Linked DNA regions of Arabidopsis thaliana. The protein of the gene in region 1 interacts with the protein of each later gene in a pairwise test. Each region holds a gene or a part of one and is shown in the gene's direction. Other genes may lie near its edges.

The links.
Region 2: the proteins of PRR9 (region 1) and AT4G25160 interact in a two-hybrid assay, tested with the Arabidopsis thaliana proteins (one large-scale study listed by BioGRID).
Region 3: the proteins of PRR9 (region 1) and EIL2 interact in a two-hybrid assay, tested with the Arabidopsis thaliana proteins (one large-scale study listed by BioGRID).
Region 4: the proteins of PRR9 (region 1) and CRF11 interact in a two-hybrid assay, tested with the Arabidopsis thaliana proteins (one large-scale study listed by BioGRID).

The regions. Positions count from the first base shown.
Region 1 is NC_003071.7:19,229,058-19,237,038, forward strand, and holds PRR9 (pseudo-response regulator 9), read left to right. Parts: upstream 1-3,549; 5' UTR 3,550-3,816; coding exon 3,817-4,003; intron 4,004-4,103; coding exon 4,104-4,265; exon of another isoform or gene 4,266-4,273; intron 4,274-4,362; coding exon 4,363-4,493; exon of another isoform or gene 4,494-4,571; coding exon of another isoform or gene 4,572-4,580; coding exon 4,581-4,700; intron 4,701-4,860; coding exon 4,861-5,132; intron 5,133-5,216; coding exon 5,217-5,652; coding exon of another isoform or gene 5,653-5,679; exon of another isoform or gene 5,680-5,745; coding exon 5,746-5,844; 3' UTR 5,845-6,122; downstream 6,123-7,981. Other genes in the region: AT2G46780 (RNA-binding (RRM/RBD/RNP motifs) family protein), read left to right, coding at 459-659, 750-885, 1,033-1,180, 1,284-1,320, 1,411-1,777, 1,865-1,986. UniProt on the Arabidopsis thaliana protein: Transcriptional repressor of CCA1 and LHY, and positive regulator of LWD1 and LWD2 expression. Controls photoperiodic flowering response and temperature compensation. Involved in the positive and negative feedback loops of the circadian clock.
Region 2 is NC_003075.7:12,901,615-12,911,150, reverse strand, and holds AT4G25160 (U-box domain-containing protein kinase family protein), read left to right. Parts: upstream 1-3,554; 5' UTR 3,555-3,934; intron 3,935-4,448; 5' UTR 4,449-4,481; coding exon 4,482-4,680; intron 4,681-4,843; coding exon 4,844-4,965; intron 4,966-5,055; coding exon 5,056-5,177; intron 5,178-5,258; coding exon 5,259-5,437; intron 5,438-5,523; coding exon 5,524-5,939; intron 5,940-6,006; coding exon 6,007-6,108; intron 6,109-6,191; coding exon 6,192-6,620; intron 6,621-6,761; coding exon 6,762-7,520; intron 7,521-7,611; coding exon 7,612-7,791; 3' UTR 7,792-7,971; downstream 7,972-9,536. Other genes in the region: AT4G25170 (Uncharacterized conserved protein (UCP012943)), read right to left, coding at 1-36, 116-221, 311-554, 694-738, 1,002-1,411; AT4G25150 (HAD superfamily, subfamily IIIB acid phosphatase), read left to right, coding at 8,269-8,663, 8,859-9,068, 9,238-9,415. UniProt on the Arabidopsis thaliana protein: Functions as an E3 ubiquitin ligase.
Region 3 is NC_003076.8:7,179,356-7,186,227, forward strand, and holds EIL2 (ETHYLENE-INSENSITIVE3-like 2), read left to right. Parts: upstream 1-3,233; 5' UTR 3,234-3,252; coding exon 3,253-4,830; 3' UTR 4,831-4,987; downstream 4,988-6,872. Other genes in the region: AT5G21125 (uncharacterized protein), read right to left, coding at 5,693-6,073; AT5G21130 (Late embryogenesis abundant (LEA) hydroxyproline-rich glycoprotein family), read left to right, coding at 6,613-6,872. UniProt on the Arabidopsis thaliana protein: Probable transcription factor acting as a positive regulator in the ethylene response pathway. Could bind the primary ethylene response element present in the ETHYLENE-RESPONSE-FACTOR1 promoter.
Region 4 is NC_003074.8:9,472,150-9,479,734, forward strand, and holds CRF11 (Integrase-type DNA-binding superfamily protein), read left to right. Parts: upstream 1-3,262; 5' UTR 3,263-3,669; exon of another isoform or gene 3,670-3,769; 5' UTR 3,770-3,902; coding exon 3,903-4,901; 3' UTR 4,902-5,441; downstream 5,442-7,585.

The DNA.
Region 1 (7,981 bases):
AAGAATTTTGCAGAAATCAAGAGAGAAGGTTGAAGACAGCGAAGCAAATGTTTATGTACACAAGAGACGCATAAATATATAAAATACAGCGAAAAAGGTAAAATTGGGTCTCTGGCTTTTCCTCATATTTTCAATTGCTTCTCTCTTCTCTCTTCTATAGCCCCATTGTCGTGGGTTCCCACTAGCAGCTTTCTTGTCTTCCTCCATTTTCTTTTCCTTCATTCTACTAAAACAGAGGTTTTTGCCTCTTCCTCTCTTGTTTCACTCTTTAGGGTACACACAAATTCACTCTTTTTTCTTCTTTGTTTGGGAGGGGAAAAGTTACAGTTTTTTCCTCTGTTTTGGATCAAAATTTCGTTTTTTTGGTTGTGTTAAGAAAGCAACAGAGAGAGAGAGAAAGATTGAAACTTTGGATGTGAATTTAGGGTTTTGTGAATTGGGGAAAAAGCAATCCAGAGATGGCTCAACAGAGACAATTTCAGATGGAAGGTGGTAATAATAATACAACAGATACCAAGTTGACGAAAATCTTTGTTGGAGGATTAGCTTGGGAGACTCAGAGAGATACAATGAGACGTTACTTTGAACAGTTTGGTGAAATCGTTGAAGCTGTTGTCATTACTGATAAGAACACTGGAAGATCTAAAGGATATGGATTTGTATGTTCCTTCTTCTCTCTCTCTTTTTCGTTTCTTTGATGATAAAGTTTCTCTTTTTCTCTGAAAAAATCAGTTTTTTTATTTGATTAGGTCACGTTTAAGGAAGCTGAAGCAGCGATGAGAGCTTGTCAGAACATGAATCCTGTGATTGATGGAAGAAGAGCTAATTGCAATCTTGCTTGTCTTGGTGCTCAAAAACCTCGTCCTCCTACTTCTCCTCGACATGGTTTGAATCTCTCTCTCTCTCTCCTCTCTTAATTCCAATGGGAACTAGCTTTAGGGTGATTGGAAAAATCTGATCTTTTTACTTGATCAACACGTGAAGAAGTCAAGAGTGTTGTTTTACGATTCTTGGTGGAAACTTGATTTCCAGGAACAGGTAGATTCAGATCACCAGGATCAGGAGTTGGATTAGTTGCTCCTTCTCCTCAGTTTCGAGGCTCTTCTTCTTCCTCTGCTTTTGTTCATCAACAACAACAACAACACACTGCTCAATTCCCATTTCCTTACTCTACTTACGGGTAAGAATACATAATCATCACATTAAATAACAATCCATTCTGATTAGTGTGCGTGTGTGTGTGTAAGCAAAACTTAAAATGCTTGTGTTTTCTTCTTCTGCAGGTTTTCTGGTTATTCTCAAGAGGGAATGTACCCAATGGTAAGTTCATTTTATAAATTTGTAGAGTCGTTTCCATTTCACTGATAAATCTTTGAAGTTCTTATGTTTGTGTTTTTTGTTTGTTTGCAGAACTACTACAATCATCATCTCTATGGAGGACAACAGTTTTCACCATATATGGGACATCCATCAGCAGGATCAACAGGAATGTTCCATGGTTTTTATCCCTACTATCCTCAATACAATGCAGCACAAAGTAGCAATCAAGCTCAAGCTCAAGTTCAAGCTCAACATCACCAAGGTTTCAGCTTTCAATACACTGCTCCTCCTGCTCCTCCTCTGCTGCAATATCCTTACTTGCCTCACCAGCCACACTTCAGTTCTCAGCAGCAATTTAGCTCTCAGCAACCTCCTCCTCCAATCCTCTCCCTCCCAACCTCTCTGGCTCTATCTTTACCTTCATCATCATCACCGTCCTCTTCAACTTCCACCTCAGGTTTGATTTCACAACACAATCTACATTGAAAACCATTTGTCACATTGTTTTGAATCATGCTTGATTCTTTGTTTTGTTTTGTATTAGCTGCAACAACAGCAACAAAAACAGTAGTTATAACTACAGCAACAAAGAAAGCAGAAACTGAAGCTAGCAGCAAAGATGGTAATGAAGCAATGACAACATCAACCATCAAGATAGAGGGTTGATTCAGAACTACTACAATAGCCAGAAGAAGGGACAAACTTCATTGTACACTAACTCATCATCAAATCTCTCCAACAACGTTCTAGAAACATTCATTCATCCATCGTTTTTAGGATTCTAGAATCTTAATTAGTACTTAGGAGGAGGAAGAAGAAGAAGAAACCATCATCACATTCTTTCTTTTTTTTTGTTGTTGTTTCAAATTGCATTTTAGGTAAAAGAATCAAGAGAAAGCATTGGTGGCTTTCTTTTAGATTCTTAAGAAAACTTGGATTGGTGCAGAAAGCATCATCAGATTATTACATTCATTTGGGGAATTTTATTTTTCAGGTTCAAAAGAAATGTTTTATGTCTTCTTTTGAACCTAAACAGGATTTTTAAGCTTCGGATAAGCTTAAAATCATTTCTTTTACATTTGTAATTCTTGAAATTGTTATAATTCAATCACATTGCTTCTTCTTACTATATTTGTTCGTTTATTATGATTATAAAATGTTTGATCAACCAAGAATCCGTTCATCGATCACTTTCACCTGGAGTTTTCTCGTGTTTTATAATCATAAAAAGATTGAACCTTTTTGATAATTATTTTGAATTCGTATGATCATTTTCTGAGAGTAAAATGATTATTGTCTTTGGATTCCAAAGGGGATCTTATGAAGACAAAAGTACCGGTCAAAAGACCGTTGGAATCAAACGGATCTTTTTCTTCGTCAATGGATAATATTTCACTTCTACTATTCTTTTAACAATTTTATAATAAAAACCAAACAAACAAAACATAGAGAATACATAAGTTATGGGCTTTTGAAAATCTAAGGCTTAAATTCTTATAAAGCCCATTAATTTTTATATGTGTAAGTAAGTTGGCCATAGAAAGCTTAAAGCCTTAGATATGTAAACACGCAAGAATATGGTAAGTTGTTTATTACGCACTGTCCACATCATAGATCGATAGATATTCTTTCCACGCAAAGCAAAGTTTTATTAAGATGGTTCTAGAATTCCTTCTTATCCACAGAAAATTTTTATATTCAAGAAAATCCAATTTTTCATTTGGAGTCGAAATTTACGCGGCCACTAACGAAATTTGATTTAATTAAAACTAGTGGGCATTTAATATTTGAAAATAATACTATTTGTTAAATCCCAATTGAAAATTTAATAACATTTAATATAATTAACTTTTTTGAAAAAAGGAACAAAAAAAGCCATCCAATTTGAATGATACATAGAGCAGCTGAAAAAAAAAAATCTACCTTTTAGAATTTATTAAATCCAACCAAAAATCAAACTTAGCCACACAATTACAATAGAAACCCACGTGTCATCCACATGACCACTAGATATTCAGACGAATATCTCCACTTCCGTAGAGCGATTAGGTTAATGACACGTGTTAAGGTGGACCTGCGAAGCAGAGGACCACCTCCACCGAATCAGCCGCGATACAGAGAAAATCAAAACAATGGCTCATATTAAGCCACGTCAGCTCAGTGAAGGCCCGCTTTGTTACACACCGTTAATTAGATTTCTCAAATTGTTTATTTGCTCTGAGCTTATACAACAAAGTCTTCTTCTTTCTCTGAGAAGATATTTTCGTGGTTGTGATCGAAAGATACCAAACTAAAGAGTTTAACTTTCTTCTTCCTTCTTCTTTACTTCAACATCTGATATTTTCTCTCTCTCTTTTATTCAGTCTGAAACAATATTTCTCGGTAGATTAAGATCTAAAGCTCGTTGATCTAGATTCTTGTTTCTATTTTTGTGTGTTTTAGGCTTTGTTGGTTTTACCAAGTGTTGTGATTCAGTTTGTTTTGAGGTCTGAGTCTATGGGGGAGATTGTGGTTTTAAGTAGTGATGATGGTATGGAGACTATAAAGAACAGAGTAAAGTCATCGGAAGTTGTTCAGTGGGAGAAGTATTTGCCTAAAACTGTACTTAGGGTTTTGTTAGTTGAATCTGATTACTCAACTCGTCAAATCATCACTGCCCTTCTTCGTAAATGCTGTTACAAAGGTCGATTGGTCTTTCCTTTCATTAGCTTATGTTAAAGTTTTCATTTTTATGTTTTGATGTTTGAAATTAAACTCGGTTCATGCTTTTTGATTGAATACAGTTGTAGCTGTTTCTGATGGTTTAGCTGCGTGGGAGGTTCTAAAGGAGAAGTCACATAACATTGATCTTATACTAACAGAGCTGGATTTGCCATCTATATCTGGTTTTGCTCTGCTTGCTTTGGTAATGGAGCATGAAGCTTGCAAGAACATTCCTGTCATAAGTACGATGGTGATCCCCTAAGTCCTTTATACCTCTAAAAACGCCTCTTTGTTAGTTTTTTGGTTCTTATGCTTTTGTTGTTTGTTTGAAATGAATAGTGATGTCTTCTCAAGATTCGATAAAAATGGTGTTGAAGTGTATGCTGAGAGGTGCTGCTGATTATCTAATCAAACCAATGAGGAAAAACGAGTTGAAAAATCTATGGCAACATGTTTGGAGAAGACTGACTGTAAATTTTTTATTTCCTTTTTTGAGGTTTCCTTGTGTTGAAGTTTGAAACTTGAAAGACTTATTGTCTTTTTTGGTTATGGATCAGTTGCGTGATGATCCTACTGCTCATGCTCAAAGCTTACCAGCTTCACAGCACAACCTTGAAGATACTGATGAAACTTGTGAAGATTCCAGATATCATTCAGATCAAGGAAGTGGTGCTCAGGTATAATAAATATTACCATCTGAGTTTTACATAATATATGTTCTGGTCCTTCTGAATTGTGTTTTGTATGAGTTGTGAGATTTTCATCTTGAGATTGCATTGTATATCTCATGTTTATCTCATTTTAGTAGAAGCTAATATCGTGTACATGCTTATGCAGGCTATCAATTACAATGGTCACAATAAGCTGATGGAGAATGGCAAATCAGTGGATGAAAGAGACGAGTTTAAGGAAACTTTTGATGTGACAATGGATTTGATTGGTGGAATTGACAAGCGTCCTGATAGTATTTATAAAGACAAGAGTCGAGATGAGTGTGTTGGTCCTGAGCTTGGACTTTCTCTGAAAAGATCTTGCTCTGTAAGTTTTGAGAACCAAGATGAAAGCAAGCATCAAAAGCTTAGCCTCTCTGATGCGTCGGCCTTCTCAAGGTATGCATGTTTCCTTGCTTGAATAAAGAATGCCTCAAATCTTGTAATTAGTGTTTTTAATCAATAACTCTACTTAACTTGCAGATTTGAGGAAAGCAAGTCAGCAGAAAAAGCCGTCGTTGCTTTAGAGGAGAGTACTTCAGGTGAGCCAAAGACACCAACCGAATCACATGAAAAGTTAAGAAAAGTAACATCTGATCAAGGAAGCGCCACAACGAGCAGCAACCAGGAGAATATCGGATCATCAAGCGTAAGCTTCCGTAACCAAGTTCTTCAGTCCACAGTAACGAATCAGAAGCAAGATTCACCCATACCGGTAGAATCAAATCGCGAGAAAGCAGCTAGCAAGGAAGTAGAAGCTGGTTCTCAAAGCACCAATGAGGGGATTGCTGGACAAAGCAGTAGCACAGAGAAACCAAAGGAAGAAGAAAGTGCGAAACAACGTTGGAGTAGAAGCCAGAGAGAAGCTGCATTGATGAAGTTCCGGTTGAAGAGGAAAGATCGATGCTTTGACAAAAAGGTAAGAGACACACAAGCTTCATCATAAAAACAGCATCTGAAACAAATACAAGATCAAACTGATTCAATGGAGATGTATAAAAATGGATTACAGGTTCGGTACCAGAGCAGGAAGAAGCTAGCAGAACAACGTCCTCGAGTGAAAGGCCAGTTCGTGCGAACCGTGAATTCAGACGCGTCTACAAAATCATGAAGAGCTCTTTCAGTTTTTCCTCTGATTTCTTTTGTTGATTTTATAACAGAAACTTATTTAGCTTTTGCAATCTTTAGTGTGCTTTTTTTTTTTATGTATTTGATTGGCTTCTTCTTCTCAGCTAATATGAGATACTGGGGCAACTTTTGTATATATGTCTGCAAATGATCAGGCTAAGCTAAAACAGTAATTCCAATTTCGTTAAGTTGAGAAATATTTCTTGTTGTGATCATATCCAGGCCGCTTCTCTCTCGATACATACCAACAAGAAACAGATTCTATAAAACTTGATTTATATACCATTGCTATAGTCTATGTATTAAAACTCATCACATTAATTCTCTCACAGTCAGAGAAACAAAAAAAGGAAACAAAAGCTATCGAAAGAAAAATCAACAAAGAAATCTTTTTTTGTGACCGTTAAACTAAGATTTTGTGACCGTTAATTGTGATTATCAGTTTCCTTTTCTTTGCTTATAAATAAATAATTAGTGAGAGTCTCAACGCTTCTTCTAAAACATTCGACAAATCAAAACTCTCTATCTCTCGCTTCTTCTTATTCTTCAACCCTAGTTCTCTTCTCAAGACAATTTTGTCTTCAAAGAGGAGACTACAAAGAGGAGGATATAGCCAAGAGAGGGGAGAGCTTTATGGTGGTGGATGATGTCACGAGAGGGCTACCAAAGACCGACGGGCTCAAATCTGACTTTGGAATGGGCTTTGCTCTATGGGCCCTTTTTGCTACTAAATCCAACAAGGTATTACTTTTTTCATTCTTTTTTTTTTTGTTTTATTTACCTTCAAAATTATTTTTAAGTAAAACTAATTAGTTTCACCATAACATTTATATAACTAAAATGTTTATATATTTTCATTAGTTTAAGTGTAAAATGTTTTTACACCTATATTTTATTATAACTTTAGATTTTTTTTATATAGATAAGTGTTAAATTTTTAAATTTTGTGTAAACTAATTGGATACATCATCCAAACCCCTAGGAGGTGTGCCAGGTTCAATATATGGTTTACACATTATTTAACTTTTTAACACTTGTTTTGCTTTTATTAAAAATGTTTTTAAACTTACATATTTTCATATTACTATTAAATCTTTAAGGTATTTTTATTTGGATAAGTGTTAAATTTTTAAATTTTGTGTAATCTAATTGGATACATCATCCAAACCCCTAAGAGGTGTTCTAGGTTTAATATATAGTTTACACATTATTCAACTTTTTAACACTTGTTTTGCTTTCGTTAAAAATATTTTTAAACTTATATATTTTCATATTACTATTAAATCTTTAGGTTTTTTTTTATTTGGATAAGTGTTAAATTTTTAATTTTTGTGTAAACTAATTGGATACATCATCCAAACCCCTAAAAACTGTTCTAGATTCAATATATGGTTTACACATTATTTAACTTTTTAACACTTGTTTTGCTTTTATTAAAAATGCTTTTAAACTTATATTTTTATACTACTATTAGATCTTTAAGGTTTTAAGGTTTCATTTATAGGTTTAATATATGGTTTACATATTATTTAAGTTTTTAACACTTGTTTTTCATTTATTAAAAAATGTTTTTAGACTTATATTTTTACATTACTATTAAACCTTTAATGTTTTTTTGGGATAATTTTTTTTTTTTAATTTTGTGTAATCTAATTGAATACAAGATTCAAACATGTAGGTGGTGTTTTAGGTTTAATATGGTTTACAAATTATTTAGGTATTGAACACTTGTTTAAAAAAATAAAATTAAATCTTAGTTTAAGTGGTAAATTTTAAACACGTTGAAAACTAATTGCGCCTAAGCATCTCGTACTTAGTTGGTCCGTAAGTTTTGGTGTTCGAAGTTTGGAAAGTTTTCACGTAATTTAACACTTAAACTTTAAAAAATCAGTTCATTTAAAACTTTTTGAAAATTAGTTTAAATGGTAAATTTTAATCACGTTGAAACTAACCGCACATAGATATCTCATATTTAGTTGATCCGTAAGCTTTGGTGTTTGTAATACTTATAATTAGTTTTTGAAAAATGTTGATTGTTTTTACTAAATTTAAGAAATTAATTCACTAAAACTTTTTAAGAACTAGTTTAAGTGATAAAGTTTAAATATGTCAAAACTAAC
Region 2 (9,536 bases), on another chromosome or scaffold:
TATTCTCCCTAGGGGTGTCTTCTGAATTTTCCTCATCTGTAATACAAAAACTGAGTCCCCTGAGAAGTCTGTCAAATGAAATGTTTAGATTGATCAATTCATTATCTCTTTATACCTTGACTTATGCCATTGTTGTACAAGTCCCTAATCTCTCGCACCACATCGTTGTTCATCACCGCCTCCCAAACTGCTTTGTCAGACGACAATGATACTACCATTTTCTGCATTAAAATGTGAAAAAGCCCTTTCTTCATGTACCAAAAAGTAAACATGAGCTTAGTGTAATCAAGAAAACAAAAGAAAGTATCACCTGGACAGATGGTTCGGTTCGTAGTAGGTCAAAAGCATTGTAAACCTGATCATAAGCATGAGGCTTTAACGTTCTTGAATGGCATAAATGCATTGATGGCTCCATCCAGTCCGAATCCGACCCGAATGAAGGAACTTGATGAACCATCCCTGTGGCTATAGGGCTCTGGTTTCCACCACCATTTTCCGGATAGCACTCGTATTTGTCTCTAACCAGCTGGGAATATGAACTAGCATCGAAAACCCTTCAAGAAAATAAAACAAAACCGTTACTCCAACACGTAAACAGAACACAAATATTTCGAAATCCATAAGATAACAAAGACCAATTACTATTATGAATAAACCAGCAAACAACTTTTGAAAGTATTTTAAGTACAAAACAACTGAGTGGGGTCACGGAGACACAGCTGAAAGAGTTTCAAACTTCTTCAAGATCATCAAATCAAGACAATTCCATCCATATCAGGAAAGAAAACAATTAAACTTTGAGACACTATAGCAGTCCATAACAATTCTCGTGTCTCTCTCTATTACTTAGACAACTCGTGGGAACTAATACCTACCACTCAAAAGTGATCAATTTATGAGATTTTATGACAATAATTTCCACAAGACTCAAACTCAAATAGTCACATCCAAAGAATCACACATTTTCAAGTGAAATGAGAAAAGAGAAGAAATTAGATTACTGCTGGAGAGCAGAAACAGCATCTTGGACTTCATCAACAGAAGGAACAGAGCCAAACAGAGAATCATCTTCTTCCTCAGAAACCCACTCAAAATCATCATAACCTCCAGAATTAACAAAGGAAAAAGGACCGCCGCCGCTCCATCCGGAGGTTGCAGCCACCGGAAGATTCAACAACAACCCAGAAGCCGCGGAATACGTCAGATTATTCGACCCAGAAGAAGAAGATCTCTGTTTCTGGACATGCGAAACAGAGGCGTTTCCAGCCGGAGACGACGTGGACGATGATGATGAAGAAGCAAAGGGATCTTGAATACCACCGTTGGCTACACCGGTCCTCGTCATCGCACGACCGGCGGCGCGTAACATACCTCCGCCGCCACCCATAGGCCCTCTTCCTCCACCAAACATAGAGAGATCACTATCAAATTGTTTTTACTTACACGACAGGTTGCGTATGTTTACTCGGTGAGTTTGTCTTTTGGTCCGATGCTATTTCGTAGGCTTTTTACTTGAAGCAGTTTTGATTGAATCGAGGAAGTGGATAAATGCGAAATGTCTTTTATAGATTTTCAGGAATATATGACTTTCTTTACTTTGCTTTGGTCCTTCTTCTCCACGACACGCTTATCCGTTTACTCTGTTTTCTTTTTTTCCATTAAATGCATTAAAATACTACTCCACTGTTGTTATAATAATAATTGTTTCAATACTGGATTATATATCCCAAATTTATTTGGTACGTCAGCATATGAGTTTCCAAAAACGAAATAAAAACATAATAAAAAAAAAAGAGACTATGCTTTATTATAACTAAAGGTGTACATAGATCAAATCATAAAATTTCATATTCAATTTGGATAATTTGGATGTGGTTAAAAACCTAAAAGTCTAAAACCAGTACGTAATAGTAGTTTTCTTTTTTTCCGTGTAACATATGTATGGGTTTATATAAACCAAAACATATTTGTAGGTCTTTTTCATTTTGAGTTTCGGTAGCGTTTTCAATTGGATTTTATTTGAATTTTAATCCAAAATAATGGATTTTTATCATAGTTAGACAAAAATTTCACGGAATTTATGGGTAAATAGTTTTTCTTTTGTTCGTGAATGTCAACGAACATAGGCATTTTTAGTGTGGTCAAACTATGTTTAAGTTGATGTGTGTATGTATCTGACAGGTAAGTCTGTTGTTTTGCAAACATGTTTTCAATATCATTCTTTACCAAAAAATGATATTTTCATATTACAAAGCAGATTATTTTAGAGTAACTTTGTAAACTATTCAAAACAAATGTGTACACAAAGGTTACTTTTGCATTTAAACCTTTATGTAATTAATAAATCAAGTCATTTCAGCCATTAATAAATTAAGATATTTGTATCTAATTCAACATTGTAAATTATCATATTTAAAAGTTCTTCCACTATCAAATTTCATCATCGCCATATAATTAGAGTTTCTACACTCGATCATGTATTAAAAGAAGATCTTGACCACACACACAACAAAAGAAACAAATTGTAAGAAAATACCCATTTGCAAATTTCCTATTAATAAGTTATAAATAAATTATATGTCATTTGCTATTTACTAATGTCATTTATCCAGTTTTCATTGGACAAACTCTGCCTTTTTCGTCCATTTTTTTCTTAAAAAAAGATGGCCATTCATAGTAAAAAGAATATTATGTAGTGCAACACAATATTGATATATATTCTTATATTTTTGACAGAATTTGTTCTTTAGTTTTTGCATCAAACAAAACGAGAATGGAGAAAATAATCATTGATATATTGACCTGAACACTAGTCGTTTACATTCAGAATACACAATAGTAATACGAATACTAGACTCAAGAGCATGAAAACTCCAAAACCAATTTGAAAGTGGGAAGACATTTCGTACGGAAAAAAGGAGAATCAACATAAGAAAATAATAATAGATTTTAAGTTTATAGAGATATTAGATAATTGAAATTTGAAAATAATGTGTCCTGATCGAATATTTCATGATGAATGACTACAGGGGATGAAGATTTTAGCGTCGAGACAAGACAAGTTTAAAATTCGAGTTTTTTCCACCTTTTATCATCAATCATCAAGGAACAATGACATGCCAATTCGTTTTCCATAAGTAACTTTTAATGTTTTTAGCTTCTATAGATACTTTGAATGCTTTTATTCTAAAAGGTCTTTGTTGACAAGGTCAAAGAGCCTAATCGAATCCTCTTGATCAGCCAGAGAGTTTTGCCTTCGTCTTTGGATTTTGCCAAAATTGGTTACTTAATCAGCCAGAGGTTAAAACTCGTAAACCGGCGTTTAAATTGAACCGGCCAAATCACGGTTCAAATGCGAACCAATGTTGTAGGTGAACTCTACCAAAGTCTTGTACCACTCCACTATGCATAAAGGGGAGGAGACAAAAAGACGTGAGGAAGACATAGATCATGCGTGCAACTATGGCCAAACTCGATATAATAATGGCGTTGAGGAATGTAGTTAAATACCAAATAATTAGGGAATTAAGAGATAAACTATGATTAAACTAATAGTCAAGGCCTAAGGTTGGAGAAAACTTCTTTCTTTTAGAACACACTCTCCTTCTGTCACTCTGATAATGAAGAAAATTCAGGCGAGAGAACAAAAGAGTATATACCCAGGACTGATCCTCCTTTGACCATTAACATGACCAACTTGTCTCATTTTCTTATTATTTTTGATGCTTCTTTTCAAATCTTTTTTAGATTCTCTGGTTATAAGAACCCATTGTTTGTATCTGAGATTAGCAGCACCAACGTGGGTCTTCATCTTCTTCTTCTGCTGCTCTCTTTATTTTCTGAAATTGATTGCTCTGTGAAATGGAAGCTTCCACCATTTCTTCTCTCAATTTTTGTATTGGGTTTGACTAAAGTCGCATCCTTTATTTACCAGGTAGGTTCAATTTCTGGTTTTCTTGTTTAACTCTATGCCCTGAAGATGGTCCCTTTGATTGACTTGATCAATGTTTCATAACCTTTCGAATTCTCTGCAATTGCATTGTGCTCAAAGTTGACATTTTTATTGGAAAGTTTGAGTTTTTTTTTTTATCTTTATAAGAAGCTAGCTATTTGTTAGCTTCGATGGTCGTTGAGTGTTGTTGCTTTACGATCCTTTTGGTCGTCCAAATTAGACTCTGAGACATTTGACTTTCAACGCTATTAAGAGTATCTCATGATCGGTATACCTCCGTTAGATTCTGTCAATACTTATTATTATTTGCCTTTTCGGTTTGATGAGTTGATATTCAACATTCAGCTATGTGAGTTCAAATATAATTACTGTCTGTTGATTCCCACTGACTGGAGAGTTTTAGCTTTCCCTTTCTTTCATGTTATCTCTACTTTAGGAACAAAACACTCTTTTTAGAACATTGTTTTGCAGTGTCTGAAATGGTTGTAGTGTGCAGGGTCAATAGAAACAAGAACACAAAAGATTAACAATGAGTAGATCACCAGACAAGCTTGCTCTTCCTCCTCCTCCTCCTCCTCCCCCATCTCGTACCGTCGTTGTGGCTCTAAGTGGGAGCAGTAAAAGCAAATATGTAGTTACATGGGCGATCGAAAAATTTGCTACTGAAGGAAATGTTGGCTTCAAGCTGCTTCACATCCATCCAATGATTACTTCTGTACCTACACCAAGTAAAGTTCCAACTATGCCTTGTATTTCTGTTTCTTTCTTTCTTGTACTCAGGACTTCTTCCTGTGTTTCCCTTTTTTCTATTTGGTATTGTTGTGTAAAACAAAATCAAGACTTATTGTAACTGATAAAAAGCCTGATGTACATTTCTTGCTCCTTCTCAAGTGGGAAATGCAATCCCGATTTCCGAGGTACGAGATGATGTAGTAACTGCATATAGACAGGAAATACTGTGGCAGTCTGAAGAAATGCTTAAACCTTACACAAAACTGTTCGTGCGGAGAAAGGTATTTTCTTTGGTATAATGAGATATCTTACGCTCTTCTTTAATGAAAATTTCAAGGTTACATGAACTCATTGAATTACCTTAATGAAAGGTTGCAGTAGAAGTTCTTGTGATCGAATCAGATAATGTGGCAGCCGCAATAGCTGAAGAAGTGACTCGGGATTCAATAGACAGAATTGTCATTGGAGGCTCATCCCGTAGTTTTTTCTCAAGGTACACTACCACCCTGCTGCTAGCTTTCGACCTTTGTTCTTTCTATTCCGTGTACCAATGAATCTGTTTTGAAAATTCCAGGAAAGCTGATATTTGCTCGGTGATATCAGCTTTGATGCCAAACTTTTGTACAGTCTATGTTGTTTCAAAAGGTAAATTGTCATGCGTCCGACCATCAGACTCAGACGGAAATGCTACTATAAGAGAAGATGGTAGTGAGAGAACAAATTCTTCAAGCGGTTCTTCTGGTCCCACCTCAGGTCCATGACTCATCAATGTATTTGTGTGAATACTCTACTAGAAATGGTGTGTATATCTAATTCTGTTACCCCATTTTCTCTTCTAGATTCATCAGATGTAATGTCAAGTGCGCATGACTCTCAATCTCGTCCTCTATCCCTTCCGGTCAGGAGAATGCAACATTTCCCTGCAATTGCAGGACAGGCATCAGTTCCAATGGAAACGAGTTCTGTTGGCTCGGATGAAACCAGGTGCATGTCTTTGGATGCAGAGGAAGCTAGAGATGTTTCAAGTATCAATAGAAGCAGCACAGATACTACATCACGTTGGACTCCTCGGCGTAGAGATTATGAGGAGAGAAAAGAAGCTATGAGTTCTTCTTCGAGCAACCGTGAATACGGGAATTTTGGTACTAGGTTTAGTTGGAGTGGCATGGGTGTCGATACTACACACTCTCGGGCTTCTCAACAAGCTTCCAACATGTCTGATGCTCTAAGTGAACAATCCTATACAGACAACCAGGTATAAAATGGAGTTTTAATTTCGACATTGTCTTGTGAATCGGAATAATATAAGATTATTTGTTCAGGTAAACCTAAACTTTGAGGTTGAGAAGTTGAGAGCTGAGCTTAGACACGTTCAAGAAATGTATGCTGTGGCTCAAACCGAAACCTTTGATGCTTCTCGAAAGGTGAAGGCCTCATAATATCATATATCTTTGCATTTGATGAAACTTATTAAATTGTGCTCAATGCTTTTCTGAAAATGTTTCAGCTTGGTGAACTTAACCAACGTCGGTTAGAAGAAGCCATAAAGCTTGAAGAGCTAAAGCTGAAGGAGTATGAAGCTCGAGAGTTAGCAGAAAAGGAAAAGCAGAATTTTGAGAAGGCAAGGAGAGATGCAGAGAGCATGAGAGAAAGAGCAGAGAGAGAAATTGCGCAGAGAAGAGAAGCCGAAAGGAAATCCGCACGTGATACTAAAGAGAAAGAGAAGCTCGAGGGCACTCTCGGGTCTCCTCAGCTGCAATATCAGCACTTTGCTTGGGAAGAAATTATGGCTGCCACTTCATCATTCTCAGAAGAACTGAAGATCGGAATGGGAGCTTACGGAGCTGTTTACAAGTGTAATCTGCATCATACAACTGCAGTTGTCAAAGTTTTGCAGTCAGCTGAAAATCAACTTTCCAAACAATTCCAACAAGAGGTATGGAAGTGAGCTCAAATTTGGTTTAAGGAACTTTGTTTGAGATTTTGTGCCTTTCACTATATGGAAGTTTTCTGATTTTAATTTCAATTCTTGTGGATAAGAGTCTACATTTATCTCACTGGCCTCTCTAATTTGCAGCTCGAAATCTTGAGCAAGATTAGGCATCCACATTTGGTTCTCCTTCTAGGAGCGTGCCCGGAGCAAGGTGCTTTAGTTTATGAGTACATGGAAAACGGTAGCTTGGAGGACAGACTTTTCCAGGTCAACAACAGTCCGCCACTCCCGTGGTTTGAGCGGTTTAGGATTGCTTGGGAAGTTGCAGCGGCTCTTGTCTTCCTCCACAAATCAAAGCCTAAACCAATCATTCACCGTGATCTTAAACCTGCAAACATCTTACTTGATCACAACTTTGTCAGCAAAGTTGGAGACGTGGGACTCTCAACGATGGTTCAAGTCGATCCTCTATCAACTAAATTCACTATATACAAACAAACAAGCCCCGTGGGAACGTTATGCTATATTGATCCGGAATATCAGCGCACTGGAAGGATATCATCGAAATCAGATATCTACTCCTTTGGAATGATTCTTCTTCAGCTTCTCACAGCAAAACCTGCTATTGCATTGACACATTTCGTTGAGAGCGCAATGGATAGTAATGATGAGTTCCTTAAGATCTTAGATCAGAAAGCCGGTAACTGGCCGATTGAAGAAACCCGGGAATTGGCCGCATTAGCTTTGTGTTGTACAGAGCTACGCGGGAAAGATAGACCTGATTTGAAAGATCAGATTCTTCCAGCGCTCGAAAACCTAAAGAAAGTAGCTGAAAAGGCAAGGAACTCATTTTCCGGCGTATCGACACAGCCTCCCACTCATTTCATCTGCCCATTACTTAAGGTAAACTCTATATAAAACCTTGTTCAATGTTGAAACATCTCATCTCAGTGTGTTGTGGTGAAAATGTGTGAGCTTGTGTGGTATAATGCAGGACGTGATGAACGAGCCGTGCGTTGCAGCAGACGGATACACATACGACCGTCATGCGATAGAGGAGTGGCTTAAGGAGCACAACACATCGCCGATGACGGATTCACCGTTGCATAGCAAGAACCTTTTACCCAATTATACTCTTTACACAGCCATCATGGAATGGAGGTCTACACGATAGTAGTAAGCCAAACTGTGTAGCGTTTTTGTGGATATATAAACGGCAAGACGTTTTGCTTTGTACTACTACTACACACATGCTGAATCAAAAATATAAACCGAAACGAAACCTTAATCATCTTGTAAACGAATATTCGGATCCATCCGTTAATTTGCCTCCAAATAAGAACACAAAACCATTGCCCTTTATTTTTCATTTTGGTATTTTGGTCTTTTTTGTCTCTCTTCCTTTCCATTGCCCAAAAAGAAACAGAAACTTTTCTCCGAGAATCCTCATTTCTCCGTTGAAAAAAGGACCTTGAGAGGAAATGTTTCACTGTTTCTAGGGTTCTTATAATCCACTTCCTCATCATTAGAGAATGGAAAATCTCCTCTTCTCTTTGATATTTCTTCGGATTTCGCTTATGTCCTGAATCTCTTGAAGACCCAATTGAAAAAATCTCAACTTTTTTTCTCCCGGCGTTTCCGGCGATATACAATGCGGATTCTCGTGAATCTCATTCTCTTCTCCTTGATTCCTCTGGCGTTCTCCAATGAAAACTCCAGCTCGTATCTCATTGCGCGACCATTGATCTTCGAAACCCAGCTCAAGAACATAAACGACAATGTCAATCTACATTGCACGAGCTGGAGATTCGCGGCGGAGACAAACAATCTCGCTCCATGGAAAACCATTCCAGCTGAATGCGCCGATTACGTGAAAGATTACCTGATGGGTGAAGGTTACGTCGTCGATGTGGAGAGAGTCTCCGAAGAAGCTAAGGTTTACGCGAGCAGCTTCGAATCTAACGGTGACGGGAAAGACATTTGGATTTTCGATATTGATGAGACGTTATTGTCGAATCTTCCTTATTACATGGAACACGGTTGTGGGTAATTTATCTTAAATCTTTCATTTTACAACATTGCTATAAAAAGTTGGTTCCTTGATAATTGTATAGATGGATTTGTCTTTTTACTATGTCGAATTAGTTAAGATTTGAGGTATGTGTTGTTGTCTGTCTTTTTCTTTGCTTGTTTGTCTATGTATGATAAATGTGAATGTTTGTTCTGTTTGGGAATTTGCAGGTTGGAAGTTTTTGATCATTCAAAGTTTGATATGTGGGTAGAGAAAGGGATAGCACCTGCTATAGCACCAAGCTTGAAGCTTTACCAAAAGGTTATACATTTGGGGTACAAAGTTATCTTGCTTACAGGGCGTAGAGAGAACCACCGGGTTATCACTGTCGAAAACCTGCGCAATGCCGGTTTCCATAACTGGGACAAGCTTATTCTGAGGTATGCATACTCTACTTTTGGACCTCCATTACAATGTAGCTCATACAGTTTTTAACCAACTATTGATCTGGATCCATGGTTGTGGTAACATGACGTTGTTTGATCTTGGATTGTAATCTTGGGTTTGAATGGATGATTGACGCTTTGGTTTGCTGCTTAATGTTAATAGATCGTTGGATGATCGGAACAAAACAGCGACCATGTACAAGTCAGAGAAGAGAGAGGAGATGGTGAAAGAAGGGTATAGGATCAGAGGCAATTCAGGTGACCAATGGAGTGATTTGTTGGGTTCTGCAATGTCAGAAAGATCCTTCAAACTTCCAAATCCAATGTATTATATCCCCTGAAGGGGATCAACTAGAATCAGGAGGCAATTCAGGTTACTAAATGGAGCAACCTACTGTTTTTGAAGTTTGGGTTGCCATGTAATCACTTGCAATAAATATATGTACTAATGACTGCATCGGC
Region 3 (6,872 bases), on another chromosome or scaffold:
GGTTAATGTGTACGATAGATAGTTGCATATTTTCACATACTATATTAATAAAACATTACTTATAGGAAAACGACGAGAGTTCCAATAATTGTGGAGTAGCCGACAAAAAAATCCCGGGAGACACGTTTCAGACATTTTAAAGAATCATTGCTGGCGACGAAACGTGCCTTCGTGGCACTTGTTTACTTTCCTATTGGCTATTTGGTTATATTCATTGCACCTCTTCTACATTTTCTCTAAGAAAACATTATATTATCATATTAAGAAATAAATACTAAAAACATCATGCTGGTATTGTTTTTCTTTGATTTGAAATAGGTTTTATACCCTATAATATATAGTTGTACTATATACCGTATCTCATTTGAACTTAAAATCAAATATGATATTTAGATAACTAGTTGACATTTCTAAAGGATAACCAAAATAAAATAAAACGAAAGTATTACCTGTTTCATTACCCACACGTTGACCGTTATACAAACAGTTATAGATAATATATCATCATAATTAAAGGTCAACATTTCATGATTTATTAAGTAGTTTATATAACATTTTGCAATGAGAAACCCGACAATTTATAGTATGGCGCCAAGATTACGAAATCTCAAATACCTATCTTTTAATGGGAGAGTTTTAAAATCGAAAAACGAATATTTGATGAGAGTTTTATTTTATTTTTTGAGTCGTGCATTACAAATATCACTGTGAAAAATGTTGATCGATTTACATAAGAATCATAATCGTCCATTGGATATATAGACAATGTGATTTAGAAGGTTATATATTTGTTTGTCTAAAGAAAAAATAATATCTTCAATTATATGACACAGTTTACAATTCAGCATAGAAAACAATACAATAAGCTACAAAGGATTGTTTTAAATAGATTTTAAAACACCATATTATCATCTTTAAATTTTGGCTTCTTGAGATGGTCTGGATAAATAGAAAATTATTAAAATAAAAAACATTGTTAACTACTAATTTTATATTAAAAATACATTTATGGAATGCTTAAAGGAAAATGGGGAAATATATATAGACAGTAATACTAGAAACCAATCTGTTGGTCAAATATTTAGAGCCAGTATCCAAAGGGATTGAATGTATATTAGTATATATAAGATATCATAAATTCATAGAGAATACAAAATTCACAATTCTTAATACAAAATACTTACCTATATGAAACTTTTCAATTTTAATGCTATGAGCTTGTGCAATTTAAAAGGCTCTTATATCTAGCATATACTAATATAATGCAAAAACAAAAATGGTAAACTAAGTATTTTTATTCTATTCTAAAGAATGTCAAATTGTATGCTTTTAAATGTTTAAACAAAAATCATGGAAATTTGGTATTTTGTAAGAAATTGAAAGCGCCACAATTCTGAGCTATTTTAAGGAATTCTTCAATAATTTTGTTTTTTTAGCATTATCATATATGTATCAGAATTAATTAGTGAGTACTGGCAACATTTTTTCCCTTTTCTTTCATACTCTGCCAGCTTTTGTATTTAAAACTATGATATTTTTTTCTATATCATATTATGTGATTTGTTTACATTTTCAAAGCAAAATGTAATAATTTCTATATATTTTATGACAATGTGCATTTTTTACTTTATTTTTATTGGTTGGACTGTGATTAGATAAATCATAAAATATCTTTTGATTTAGTAAAATAAAGAAAATCATTAATTTCTTAATATGGAAAAATTTAAACGTTTTTATTTTGATACAAAGAGAGTAATTATTTTGTAAGTCTTTGGGCATGATAAGTTTTTAGTATTCAGGACTTGGTAGAACTACAAGAATCTCATTTAAATTCCATTGTAAAAACTAATTGATAAAACTAATACAAGTAAATTAGTATAAATAGGTTGTATTTTGTTTTTTTTAAAGTATAAATAGATCGTACGGAACTACTTACTGTTTTACTATTTGTTTATCTAGACCGATATATTTAGATACAGCTCCCCATGAAATTAAATGCATTAACAAATTTTAAAATTCAAACATACGCACCAATTAATTTAAAGCTATTATTTAAATATTTTATAAAAAAAAAATTACATGCTACGATTTTATACCATTAAAATAGTAAATTTACGTGCCTTAGAAAATGTCTATATTTGGTACTTGATTCCTATTTGTTTTCAAAAATACTCGCTTTATGTTTAGGGGTTATATTTTTCCCGCTTAAGCATACATCTACATTTGATATTTTTCTTATAGTAGACATGATTATATTTTTTATATTGATATTAATAATTTTAGGCTATCAAACAAAAAATAATTTAGGCAGAAATAACCATTTTATGGGCATGTTAATTTTTCTTTTTTTTAAAAGAAGTGACTATATATTTAAATAAAGAATCTGAACTAGAAATGGAATGAAACTCAAAGGAGATAAATAAGAAATTTTTACCATATCCTTACACAAAGAAATGTGTCGTTTAGCATGGTTTTTACAGGCCTATTATCACCACCCTTTCGCAGTCTCTTCTTATTTAATGCTCATAATATATATAGATACACAAACATACATACATACATGTCTCTATCTCTTCTCTCTCTCTGAAGGTCCCAATAGCTTCTTTGGTTTGAATTTGGTGGCCGAAGCAACACAAAGGTCTCAAGAGTTTTCTGGGTATATTCTCTTCTTCCTTCGATTTCTCTTTATTTTTGTTTTTGTTTTGTTTTGCTTTTACGTATATTGTCTGCTTGCAAATATTGTTTTTTGACTTGTTGGGTTTGGTCTATCTGATATTTTGTCCGATGGGTTCCATTTTCACTTTTGCAAGATCAAGTATTTCAGTAGTAATACGGACTGGATTGTTTTGTCGTTATATGCTTTGATAAGAATCAAAAGAAAGAAAAAGATCGATGCTTTTACTGTATAATCATTTGATGATAAACCATTAATCTTGTTTGTGATTTTCTTTTACCTTCTCTAAATATTTCTCCTATATTATGTACTTAATCTCTTTGGTAGTAGTTTTCCTATAGTATTTATTCAATCCCTTGGGAGTAATAACTAATGGAATTTGGATCTCTAAATCTTTGTGTTATTCATATGATGAATCTTATTTCACAAGTTAGATCTCTCGATCTTTCACTAAAAGTCTCTGTTTTTTTCTTTTGTGTTATGTTATTGCTAGAGAGTTTTAATTTAGATTTTGATAAATACGGCATTACTAAATGACGATGATTATGCAATTTTATTCTTAAAGTGAATCATAGTTGATGACATTATTTGCAGATTCTATGGATATGTATAACAACAATATAGGGATGTTCCGGAGTTTAGTTTGTAGCTCGGCGCCTCCATTTACAGAGGGACATATGTGTTCTGATTCGCATACGGCTTTGTGCGATGATCTGAGTAGTGATGAGGAAATGGAAATAGAGGAGCTTGAGAAGAAGATCTGGAGAGACAAGCAGCGTTTAAAGCGGCTCAAGGAAATGGCGAAGAACGGTCTAGGAACAAGATTGTTGTTGAAGCAGCAACATGATGATTTTCCAGAGCACTCTAGTAAGAGAACCATGTACAAGGCACAAGATGGGATCTTGAAGTACATGTCGAAGACAATGGAGCGATATAAAGCTCAAGGTTTTGTTTATGGGATTGTGTTAGAGAATGGGAAAACGGTAGCGGGATCTTCTGATAATCTCCGTGAATGGTGGAAAGACAAAGTGAGGTTTGATAGGAACGGCCCAGCTGCTATAATCAAGCACCAAAGGGATATCAATCTTTCTGATGGAAGTGATTCAGGGTCTGAGGTTGGGGATTCTACCGCACAGAAGTTGCTTGAGCTTCAAGATACTACTCTTGGAGCTCTGTTATCGGCTCTGTTTCCTCACTGCAACCCTCCTCAGAGGCGGTTTCCGTTGGAGAAAGGCGTGACACCGCCATGGTGGCCAACGGGGAAAGAAGATTGGTGGGATCAACTGTCTTTACCCGTTGATTTTCGAGGTGTTCCGCCACCTTACAAGAAGCCTCATGATCTCAAGAAGCTGTGGAAAATTGGTGTTTTGATTGGTGTAATCAGACATATGGCTTCTGACATTAGCAACATACCCAATCTCGTGAGACGGTCTAGAAGTTTGCAGGAGAAAATGACGTCAAGAGAAGGCGCTTTATGGCTCGCTGCTCTTTACCGAGAAAAGGCTATTGTTGATCAAATAGCCATGTCTAGAGAAAACAACAACACTTCTAACTTTCTTGTTCCTGCAACCGGTGGAGACCCAGATGTTTTGTTTCCTGAATCTACAGACTATGATGTTGAACTGATTGGTGGCACTCATCGGACCAATCAGCAGTATCCTGAATTTGAAAACAACTACAACTGTGTTTACAAGAGAAAGTTTGAAGAAGATTTTGGGATGCCAATGCATCCAACACTCCTAACATGTGAGAACAGTCTCTGTCCTTATAGCCAACCACATATGGGATTTCTTGACAGGAACTTAAGAGAGAATCACCAAATGACTTGTCCTTATAAAGTCACTTCCTTCTACCAACCAACTAAACCCTATGGTATGACGGGTTTAATGGTTCCTTGTCCGGATTATAACGGGATGCAGCAGCAGGTTCAGAGCTTTCAAGACCAGTTTAATCATCCCAACGATCTCTACAGACCAAAAGCTCCACAAAGAGGCAACGATGACTTGGTTGAGGATTTGAATCCTTCTCCTTCGACGCTGAATCAGAATCTTGGTTTAGTCTTACCTACTGACTTCAATGGAGGTGAGGAAACAGTAGGAACAGAGAACAATCTGCATAATCAAGGGCAAGAGTTGCCCACATCTTGGATTCAGTAAAGAAAGCTTCAGAGTTTTCTTTTTATGTTTTCTAGTCTTTATAGCTTTGTCTCTTGCTTATTCTCTCATTAAACACAGTTTTTGATCTCTCCATTTCATAGCCCATGTAGCAATGGAGAAGATTAGGTTTCATAATAAGTTAATAACCAAATTCAAAGTAATTCATTATGTGATTTGAAGAGCCTCTCTTTTTGACAAAAGAACAGTAGAAAATGCTTTATTTGTTTAGACTTTAGAGGTGTGTATTTGTGTTCGCCTTGGGCTTCAAGGAAGAAGGCGTTTGTAGACATTTTTAATATTAAATAATTTAAACTTTGTTGGTATGATAATATTTTTATTTATGTCTTTTTATTATGTCTTTTTATAGGGAATTGTTTTCTATAAATAACAGATTTTTTATGTGTTAAATTAATTTTGTGCCTTTAAAAGAGATTAATGGTTAAAAGATGTATTTCTATATAAATCTCAAATTGAAAAATCAAATAAACTAAGTTTGACGATATGCTATTTTAAAGTTAATATGAATAATTTCAGAAATATTTAAATGATATTTCGCATATTAAATTCATAAAATAAAACTATGTGAAGACCTTACTATATAAAACTATACCTTTTTCGGCAAATCAAATACTTATATTATAAAGAGTTTACAAGAAATATAAATATTTCCAATACAACCGTTGATACAAATAAAGAAAATCGAAACAATTGATTATAAAAGAAAAAAATTCAATGTATTGCTATAATTCACTATAATGATCATATTTACTTTTTTGAATCTAATGTTAAATTATATTCAAAAAAAAAATGTTCGTTGTACAATTTAGTGGTTCGTGAGTTTGAAAATAAATTTTAAAAAGATCTAAAAGAGTAAAAAAAAAAACGCTTGTAAAAGAGCAGCTTGGTTTGGTGACCTCAGGAGCTTAAACTCTAGCAAGGATCCATGCTTGATACGCTTTGTCGTACCGTCTATCTCCTCTTGTTCGAATGGTGGAAATATGAATACAAATTTGTTTATAAATCCATTTTGTGATAAGAGCCCCCGGATGTGGTTCCTTTTTGTGCCTTCTTCCATTCCTCTCCTTTCAAATTGTATAGACAGTGGTTTGTAGAGCATAGCGAGACAGATAGCTCTCCGCTCTACTTTGCTTTGGTTCGATACATAATCCAAGACTTGAGCCCAGTCGGTTCTGTACTGATTTTGAAGATGCCCTTTGTTATTGCCTCCCATATCGTCTCCCATATAATGATCACATCACTCATCTACAAATTTGTATTTATTCAAATGATCAAATCCTTACCGGTTTTTTCTTACCACTATTCCATTCCATGCTAGGATTGGCTGCATCCTCTCATTTCAGTCAAGTTAAGCTCTTTTGTCTATTACTTTATTTCATTCATTTTCTTCTTCAATATTTTTTTTTTTTTTTTTTTTTTTCTTCTTCAATTTTTTTTCTTGGCAAAAATGTTTTACATTGACCAATTTTTACATTCCGTATATTCTATTAAAACTTTCCATTCAAGGTTCCTCCAATTTCTTTCTCCATCTGTACTAATGGAAAATTTAATAGATAATCAACAAAATAATATATACTCATTAAATAATTGTTATTAAAAGAATCTCCAAAATGATATTTGGACGATATTCATGCAATCACGTCCTAATCTCCAAATATGCACTTTCTTTATCTTATAATAAAATGATTTACTCCAAATCCTTACTGTCACCAAATCAAAACCTTCATTTCATCTGCTTCGCATTATTTCTCTGATTCAAGAAAAATGACGGTCGAGAAACCACAAGAAATGACCGGCGATACAAACTCCGACGGATTCCTAACTAACAAAGACGTTCACAGAATAAAGCATCCATCGCTAGATACCAACGATAGTTCCTCCAGCCGATACTCCGTCGATTCTCAGAAATCAAGAATAGGACCACCGCCTGGGACTTACGTCATCAAACTCCCTAAGGATCAGATCTACCGTGTTCCTCCACCGGAAAATGCTCACCGTTACGAGTATCTCTCTCGCCGGAAAAC
Region 4 (7,585 bases), on another chromosome or scaffold:
ATAATTTAACAAAGACCAAAAAAATTTGGCCAAACAACAAATAAATAAGGAAGACTAAGAACTTGTGAATTGTGATCATCGTTAACGTGGGGAAGATTTTCTTGCGATTATTATTCCTAGTCTTATTTATTTATTTATTTCCACTATCAATTTAAAATGACACGTAAATTTGTAATGATTTTTCGAATAATGTAAGCACTAATTGATATTGGTGTTTTAACTTTTAACAAAAGAAAACAAAGATCTACATATGGGCCTAAAGTAAAAGCCTTTTAGTTAAGTACATTATAATTGGGCTTTATATCTTAACAACGTCGAATCAATTGTAGGGCCGACGTGGGCGGCTAAGCTGTTTCCAACTTTCCAACTTCCGACCAGCTCCACTTGTGTCTTTCGCTCTCTCTACACTTATGTTTTTTTTTTTTCAACTCTCTGTTTTGTCTGACGTGTCCACTTACTAATAATTTTTGAAAAAACTTTCCACATATAAAAATTGCTTGATGGTCGTCGTCGATGGCTGCATTATTTATGAATGTATTAGTCCACATGGTGAAATGTCTACATTTTAAACACCACGTGACACTGATAATCCGACACTTGTATGTGTGAAATCAATGTAATGATCCCTTACTCTTTCTTTTTTGTTTTTCTTTCAATAGAACAAAAATATTGCGAATTTATCTAATAATGTTTCTGTAATACTAAAATTATTTTAAAAGTTTTTATTTAATATATTGTTAATTTGTCTAAATTTTGTCACGACCGTTTTTCTTCATGAATAGTCTTTGACGTAGTTGAACATCCATTTTGTATACACTGTTATAAATTTGCACACATTTTGTGTTTCAACAATTTTTAAAAAGTATATATGTAGTGTACAACTTTACTTTATTATTGCTTTACTTTTTTTTTGTCTATTGTCGTTGAAAAATGACATCAAATGAATCTGTTGCCTTCCTTACGTAGGAAACGTTTTGTTGAAATAGTAATAATTAGTAAGGGTCATTGTATATTGGTGGAGAAAATGTTTTTCTTACTTCTGTAATTGCATCGTCTTTTCTTCACGTAGGGTAGGCAATCACATGCATTCAGGCGTGCGTTCACTGTTTTCTTTTTTCTTCTAGCTTTTTGTTTTCCTACTATATTGTTGCAGAAAAATGTTTAGTTTAAACTAAATTAATTATCCAACTCTTTAAAGTGGCAATCTTGTAAATAAAAAGGGGAGTAGGTCTGGACCAATGTGGCAATGCGAGCGATATGTTAAAAAAGCTGTGGAATAAACAAAATTTTGGAAATTAGGAGTTCCTTTCGTTTTATGGAATTGAAAGAAAATGACACTTTCAATATTTTTTTGGTATTTCTTTAGTAAAAAATGTTTTAAATTTTTAATCGATCGAATCGTAATGAACCTTACAAAAAAATCATAAAATTTGAAGTTGATATATAAATTTTAATCTAGAGATGTTAACTTTTTGGATTAATCTGGAAGCGACCTGTTTTAAGTTGTTTCAAAACTATTAGGACCGAAACCAAATAGAATCGAGCAAAAAATGTTAGAAATTTTTATTTTATTTTGTGTTCTTTAGGTTAACCAAATGTTCGTTCATGGTGTAAGATATCAAATAATGGATGAGCTTAACCTCTAAAATACAAGTTTAAATTGATCGGTTCAAATCGGACCGAACTTAAATGATTTTGCAAGTTATTAGAGTGATCATGATCATGTTATGTTACGGAATATTACAGAGTAACTTAACTTAAGCACTGACTTAGTTGACCCAAAAAGAGACCATTGACTTCATGAAATGCTTGAGTGTGGAAAAAATAAAACAGAGTTATTCAAAAACGTTTTGAGTTGTGAATTATTCTCATTAACATTGTATTTATTTGGTGCACAAAAAAAAAAAAAAAAAAAATTGTATTTATTTATACCCACTAAAGATGGGAAGAAGACTTGTAAATTATGATGAAAAGTCCCTCGGTTGGTAGCAACTAGCAAATGTGGGGATGGAACAATCCTCCACGTTCGAAATTGTTCTTCTTTAGCACAATCAAGATACTGCAAAGTAAACTACCTCTAATGTAATTAATTAACCTCACAAATTGTTATGTTAATTAATGGTATTGAATTATACTCGTCGATCTTTTGTAAGATATTTTTGTTGAATGCCGAAAAAATTATCAGAATCTATAATTGATGTTTTTGTTTAAGAGTCAATTTGGGAGAATGAGTTAAATTACTATAGAATACAAGTATACATCACATCAAATAATATGAATAATTCACTAAACAATGAAGGAGTAGTTACTAGTCACTCTCTTTTATTTATTTTTAATTAAAAAACGAATATATATGTTATTGTAGTTTAATACTATTAATAAAATAAAATTCTATTACTTCACTTAGCTAAAAGACCCACAGTGCAGTAACAGTGAGAAGTAAATTTCATGAATAATGTATTACAATACAATAATAACTTGTTCGATACAAAGTATTATTCCTTTCACAAACTAAATTTATTTACCATATATCCATAATATAATTCCAAAAATAGTATGTTTTATTACCATATTGTAAAAGGGAAAAATGTCATTTAAATCATCACTTTACCATTTTCGTTGGTTTAAAACATAAACTCTCGATTTGGTGATTTAAATCCTCAATTTTATGTTGACGTTTAATTTAATCACGAATTCTCGTTAACTAAGCCAATTAAGACACATCGTTAAAAAATTTTCTAATTAAAATTTTTGAGTTTTTCTCTATTTTTCTTCAGAATCTCTTATCTTCTTTGGAATTTCTCTTCTTATTCGAATTCAAAGTAATCTTTCATCTTTAGGTCGATTGACGATACCGGGAAAAAAAATTGTGTCTCAATTGGCTTAGTCAACGAGAATTTGTAATTAAATTGAAAATCAACATCAAATTAAGAATTTAATTCACAAGATCCAAAATTCATACTTTAAACCAACGAAAATGATAAAGTGATAATTTAAAAAACATTTTCCTTATCCCTATTGTAAAACTATTTTCACCAATCTTAACCGAAAAAATGAAATAAAACTGTCCAAAAAAAAAAAACCAAATGCTAATAAAAAACGAATTTAATTTCCCATCTTCGTTTTTTTTCTTTCTTTTAATGCTTTAATAAATTTTTATTGAGATCTGTGTTTGAACAATCGTTTCTTAAAAGATTTTTAACATCTTTTTAAATTCCTCGGTCTCTTAAATTTACCAGTTACATAACTTTCTTTTATTTTTCCGACATAAATTAAAAGTTTTGTCTTTGGTAATAGAGAGGCAGAAAAATCTTGGCCATAGATTTGTCATCTGTTTTCGATTCGTTTTGATTCTTTACTTTATCTTCTTCTTCTTCTTCTTCTTCCTCTTTTTGAATCTTTTATCTTCTCACTTTTCTTTTTCACTTTTGGGAAGCTCGAAGAGCTGAGAGGAGTGTGAGAGAGAAAAGGATCTTTGAAGTCGCCGGAATAATTTGTTTAACCGGAGCTCTGTCTTTGACTCTACGCTTCTCTCTCTTCTTCTTCCTTCTTCGTCTTCTTAATCGCTTTCTGCTCTGTTTTTCTCGTTCATCAAGCTACATCTACTAGCTCTCTCAGTGATTGATTTCTCACAGTTTCATCGATTTCCATGCGTTTAAGACCTAAAAGGTAACTGGGTTTGCTAAAGTTTGTTACTTTGAATGGTTTTTATAGTTTCTCTGTTCGAATCTGAAGTGGGTTGTTGTGTTTTTGCTGGTTATTGAAACAGGACTTGTTCTGGGGTAAAGGACTTTTCTTGTTCTTGAGAGAGTTCATTTTGAGGCTTTTCTGGGAATTTTGAGAGGTTTTTTAGGGTTTAAGGGGGTTTGGTTTTGAATTTCGCACACCAAGTGTTCGATAAAATGGCTGAACGAAAGAAACGCTCTTCTATTCAAACCAATAAACCCAACAAAAAACCCATGAAGAAGAAACCTTTTCAGCTAAATCACCTCCCAGGTTTATCTGAAGATTTGAAGACTATGAGAAAACTCCGTTTCGTTGTGAATGATCCTTACGCTACTGACTACTCATCAAGCGAAGAAGAAGAAAGGAGTCAGAGAAGGAAACGTTATGTCTGTGAGATCGATCTTCCTTTCGCTCAAGCTGCTACTCAAGCAGAATCTGAAAGCTCATATTGTCAGGAGAGTAACAATAATGGTGTAAGCAAGACTAAAATCTCAGCTTGTAGCAAAAAGGTTTTACGCAGCAAAGCATCTCCGGTCGTTGGACGTTCTTCTACTACTGTCTCGAAGCCTGTTGGTGTTAGGCAGAGGAAATGGGGTAAATGGGCTGCTGAGATTAGACATCCAATCACCAAAGTAAGAACTTGGTTGGGTACTTACGAGACGCTTGAACAAGCAGCTGATGCTTATGCTACCAAGAAGCTTGAGTTTGATGCTCTGGCTGCAGCCACTTCTGCTGCTTCCTCTGTTTTGTCAAATGAGTCTGGTTCTATGATCTCAGCCTCAGGGTCAAGCATTGATCTTGACAAGAAGCTAGTTGATTCGACTCTTGATCAACAAGCTGGTGAATCGAAGAAAGCGAGTTTTGATTTCGACTTTGCAGATCTACAGATTCCTGAAATGGGTTGCTTCATTGATGACTCATTCATCCCAAATGCTTGTGAGCTTGATTTTCTCTTAACAGAAGAGAACAACAACCAAATGTTGGATGATTACTGTGGCATAGATGATCTGGACATCATTGGTCTTGAATGTGACGGTCCAAGCGAACTTCCAGACTATGATTTCTCAGATGTGGAGATCGATCTTGGTCTCATTGGAACCACCATTGACAAGTATGCTTTCGTTGATCATATCGCAACAACTACTCCCACTCCTCTTAATATCGCGTGCCCATAAGTTTTGCAGCTAGGTGTTATTATTAGCTATAGGAGCAACGTAAAAAGCTCGTTGTTACTCGGTTTTGTCTTAAGTTATTAAAGTATAGCAGAGGCAGTTAATCTCAAGGGAAGCAAAAACCCTAAAGATAGAAGCAGATGCAGTTTTGTGTGTTGGTGTTACTAAAGAAAGTTTTGTTGACATAATGGTTTTGATGTTGTGGAGAAGATAGAGAGGTGTGATCGAAATTGTAAATCTCAGGTGGTTTTTTTTGAAGGCAATTGTTTCTCATTTAGGGTTTTTTTCTATATGAGGATTGTCTTTGAAAAGCCTTTAGATGTTTTCTAATTCGTAAGCTCTCTCAATCTTTGTAAGTTTTGCCTGTTGAGTTATTGATACATATGTGAGACCTACTTTATTTGTTTTGTGCTACATACATTGTTGATGGTTTCGTCCTCTGCTCTTGTTAAGTCATTGTTACCAATGTTTGATTGCTGTTTCTTTCGGGTTGATTCAGTCAGACATGAAGATAACTAGATAAACCGTTTGTTCTCTGCAATCACTACCTATAGAGTTAGGGTTTAGGCTTATCCTCTTTTTGCATTATATCAGTAAAGTTTTCTTTAAAAGTTATGTGAACAAAAACACATAATGCAAGATAGAGAGGTTAATGGGTTTGGTTGATGATAACAGTAGGACAAATTATCACCGCTCTAATTGCGTTGGTTCTTAAACCATTTCTTTTATAATATTTAATATTTGATCTAATTTTCTTAAAGCAACCTTTGCGTATATTACAAGTCTTGCCAAAATTTTCAACTAGTTCCATCTTTGATATAAAGAGTATATAGTGGTGTGTTCTTTTGTGTCAAGCCATCTCTCAACTTCAGACTGTAGCTGCTTTTGGATTTTATTAGTTTCGTTTTAGTGAACAGAATTATGGATATACATTGAATTGAACGTGCATATTCATTTTGTTTTTGTTTTTTCAACAAATTAAAATGAATTCTAAGATGTTTTTGTTTTTTTGTTAATTGAATTCTTAAGATGTTGACAGAAAATAAATTGAAGTCTTAAGAATAATTGATTTGAGATTTTAAGACTTGTACTTTTCTTTGGAGATTGGAGATTTGACATGCTCGAAGTCGATGTATACAATTTGGTTTTTTATCAAGTGTCATTCTCATTCGATGGAGCTTTTTTTTTATCAAAAACGTGGAAATTAGTGATTTCTAATGATCTGAAATAAAAATTGGGTTTACTTCCATGGTTTTTTTTTGGACAAAGGGGTTTACTTACGATCAAGCAATCAATTACATAGTTATTCTGGATTAGTCATTTGGTAATATTTAGCATCTTATGAAGAATCTTAAACACGTCCATTATACAACTAAATATGTTGCACCATTTGATGGAAAAAAAATATGTTGCACCAAAAAAATGATCCAAGATGTTGAAACTTGAAAGAAAAAATCGAATAATAATAACAAATAGGCTTTCTGGCTTTCTATGTTACTGAAAGGCCCAATGCACGTAAACGGAGAGCCCACATTACAAATTAATAATTTTTGTTGGGCTAGTGAGACCATAACGCTATCATACGTTGTAAATCTGTACAGCAAGTTAACAATTACAATAATAATCAGATTTTACACTCTTTTATAGATAAGTCATGGTCAAGACTCAAGAGTCAAGAGTCAAGACCAACAATCAATGGCCTAGCTTGTACAACAAAAGACTTAAGGCTATATAGTTTTAATCAATTAGAGTCACATAATTCACAAATATCAACGATTATACAACGGTTGTTATTGAGTAGTTAAAACATGGTTGATATAGATTAGTGAGAAAATATTGATTGGTTGACAATATATGAAAGTGAAATTATCAAAATGATATTATACATAAGTTTTTAAAATATATCCAAACTCATTTTTATTATAATTAGAAACTTTTTAAAAAATATAGACCGTATGTGATCTATTTTTATGAAACTTAATAACAAAATTTATTTGAAAATATTAGATTGTAAAAAAATAATTATTCATTCTGTAGTTTCCGGTTAAAAAATGTGCAGAAAGATGAGTTTTTAGTTTGTGGGTTCAGTAACATTATAAGCTAATATTTTTTTATTAGTTGATTACATATTATTCAAGGATTACATATGTTGATGAATCCTTTAATTTACTCGTGTTAACAATAATCCGTAATTTTTTAAGACGTGAGGGATACATAGGAGAGATTTCCATCGAGATGCATGGTTGTTTTTGATTCCCTCACTCCTGATAAGATAAACTAGAATACGTTTCGACGTCAAAATATTTAAAGATTTGCTTAACTGAAAAATAAAGAGAATTTTGTGGAATAGGTCAGAACTATATTTTTAAATTAGCTAAAGGATATTTTTAATATAATTTTGTTAATGGTCAAAAAGACCTAAAAAAAATTCTTAACAAAAAAAATAAAGAGAATTTGGTAAAATAGGATAGTTTTATGTTTTTCAATAAGTAAAATGGACTATTTATGTTTTAAATTATCTAAACGGTAATTTATATAGTTTGAAAGTAGTATAAAAAATATTCTGATTCGTTGCTAATCGTTCTAAAGTGCTCAACAACTACAACGAACGACCAAGTCCCTTTTTCCCCGTTTAGGAAATGATGATGTTAACTTGTAAATATTTTTAAAATGGTTGAACAAATACT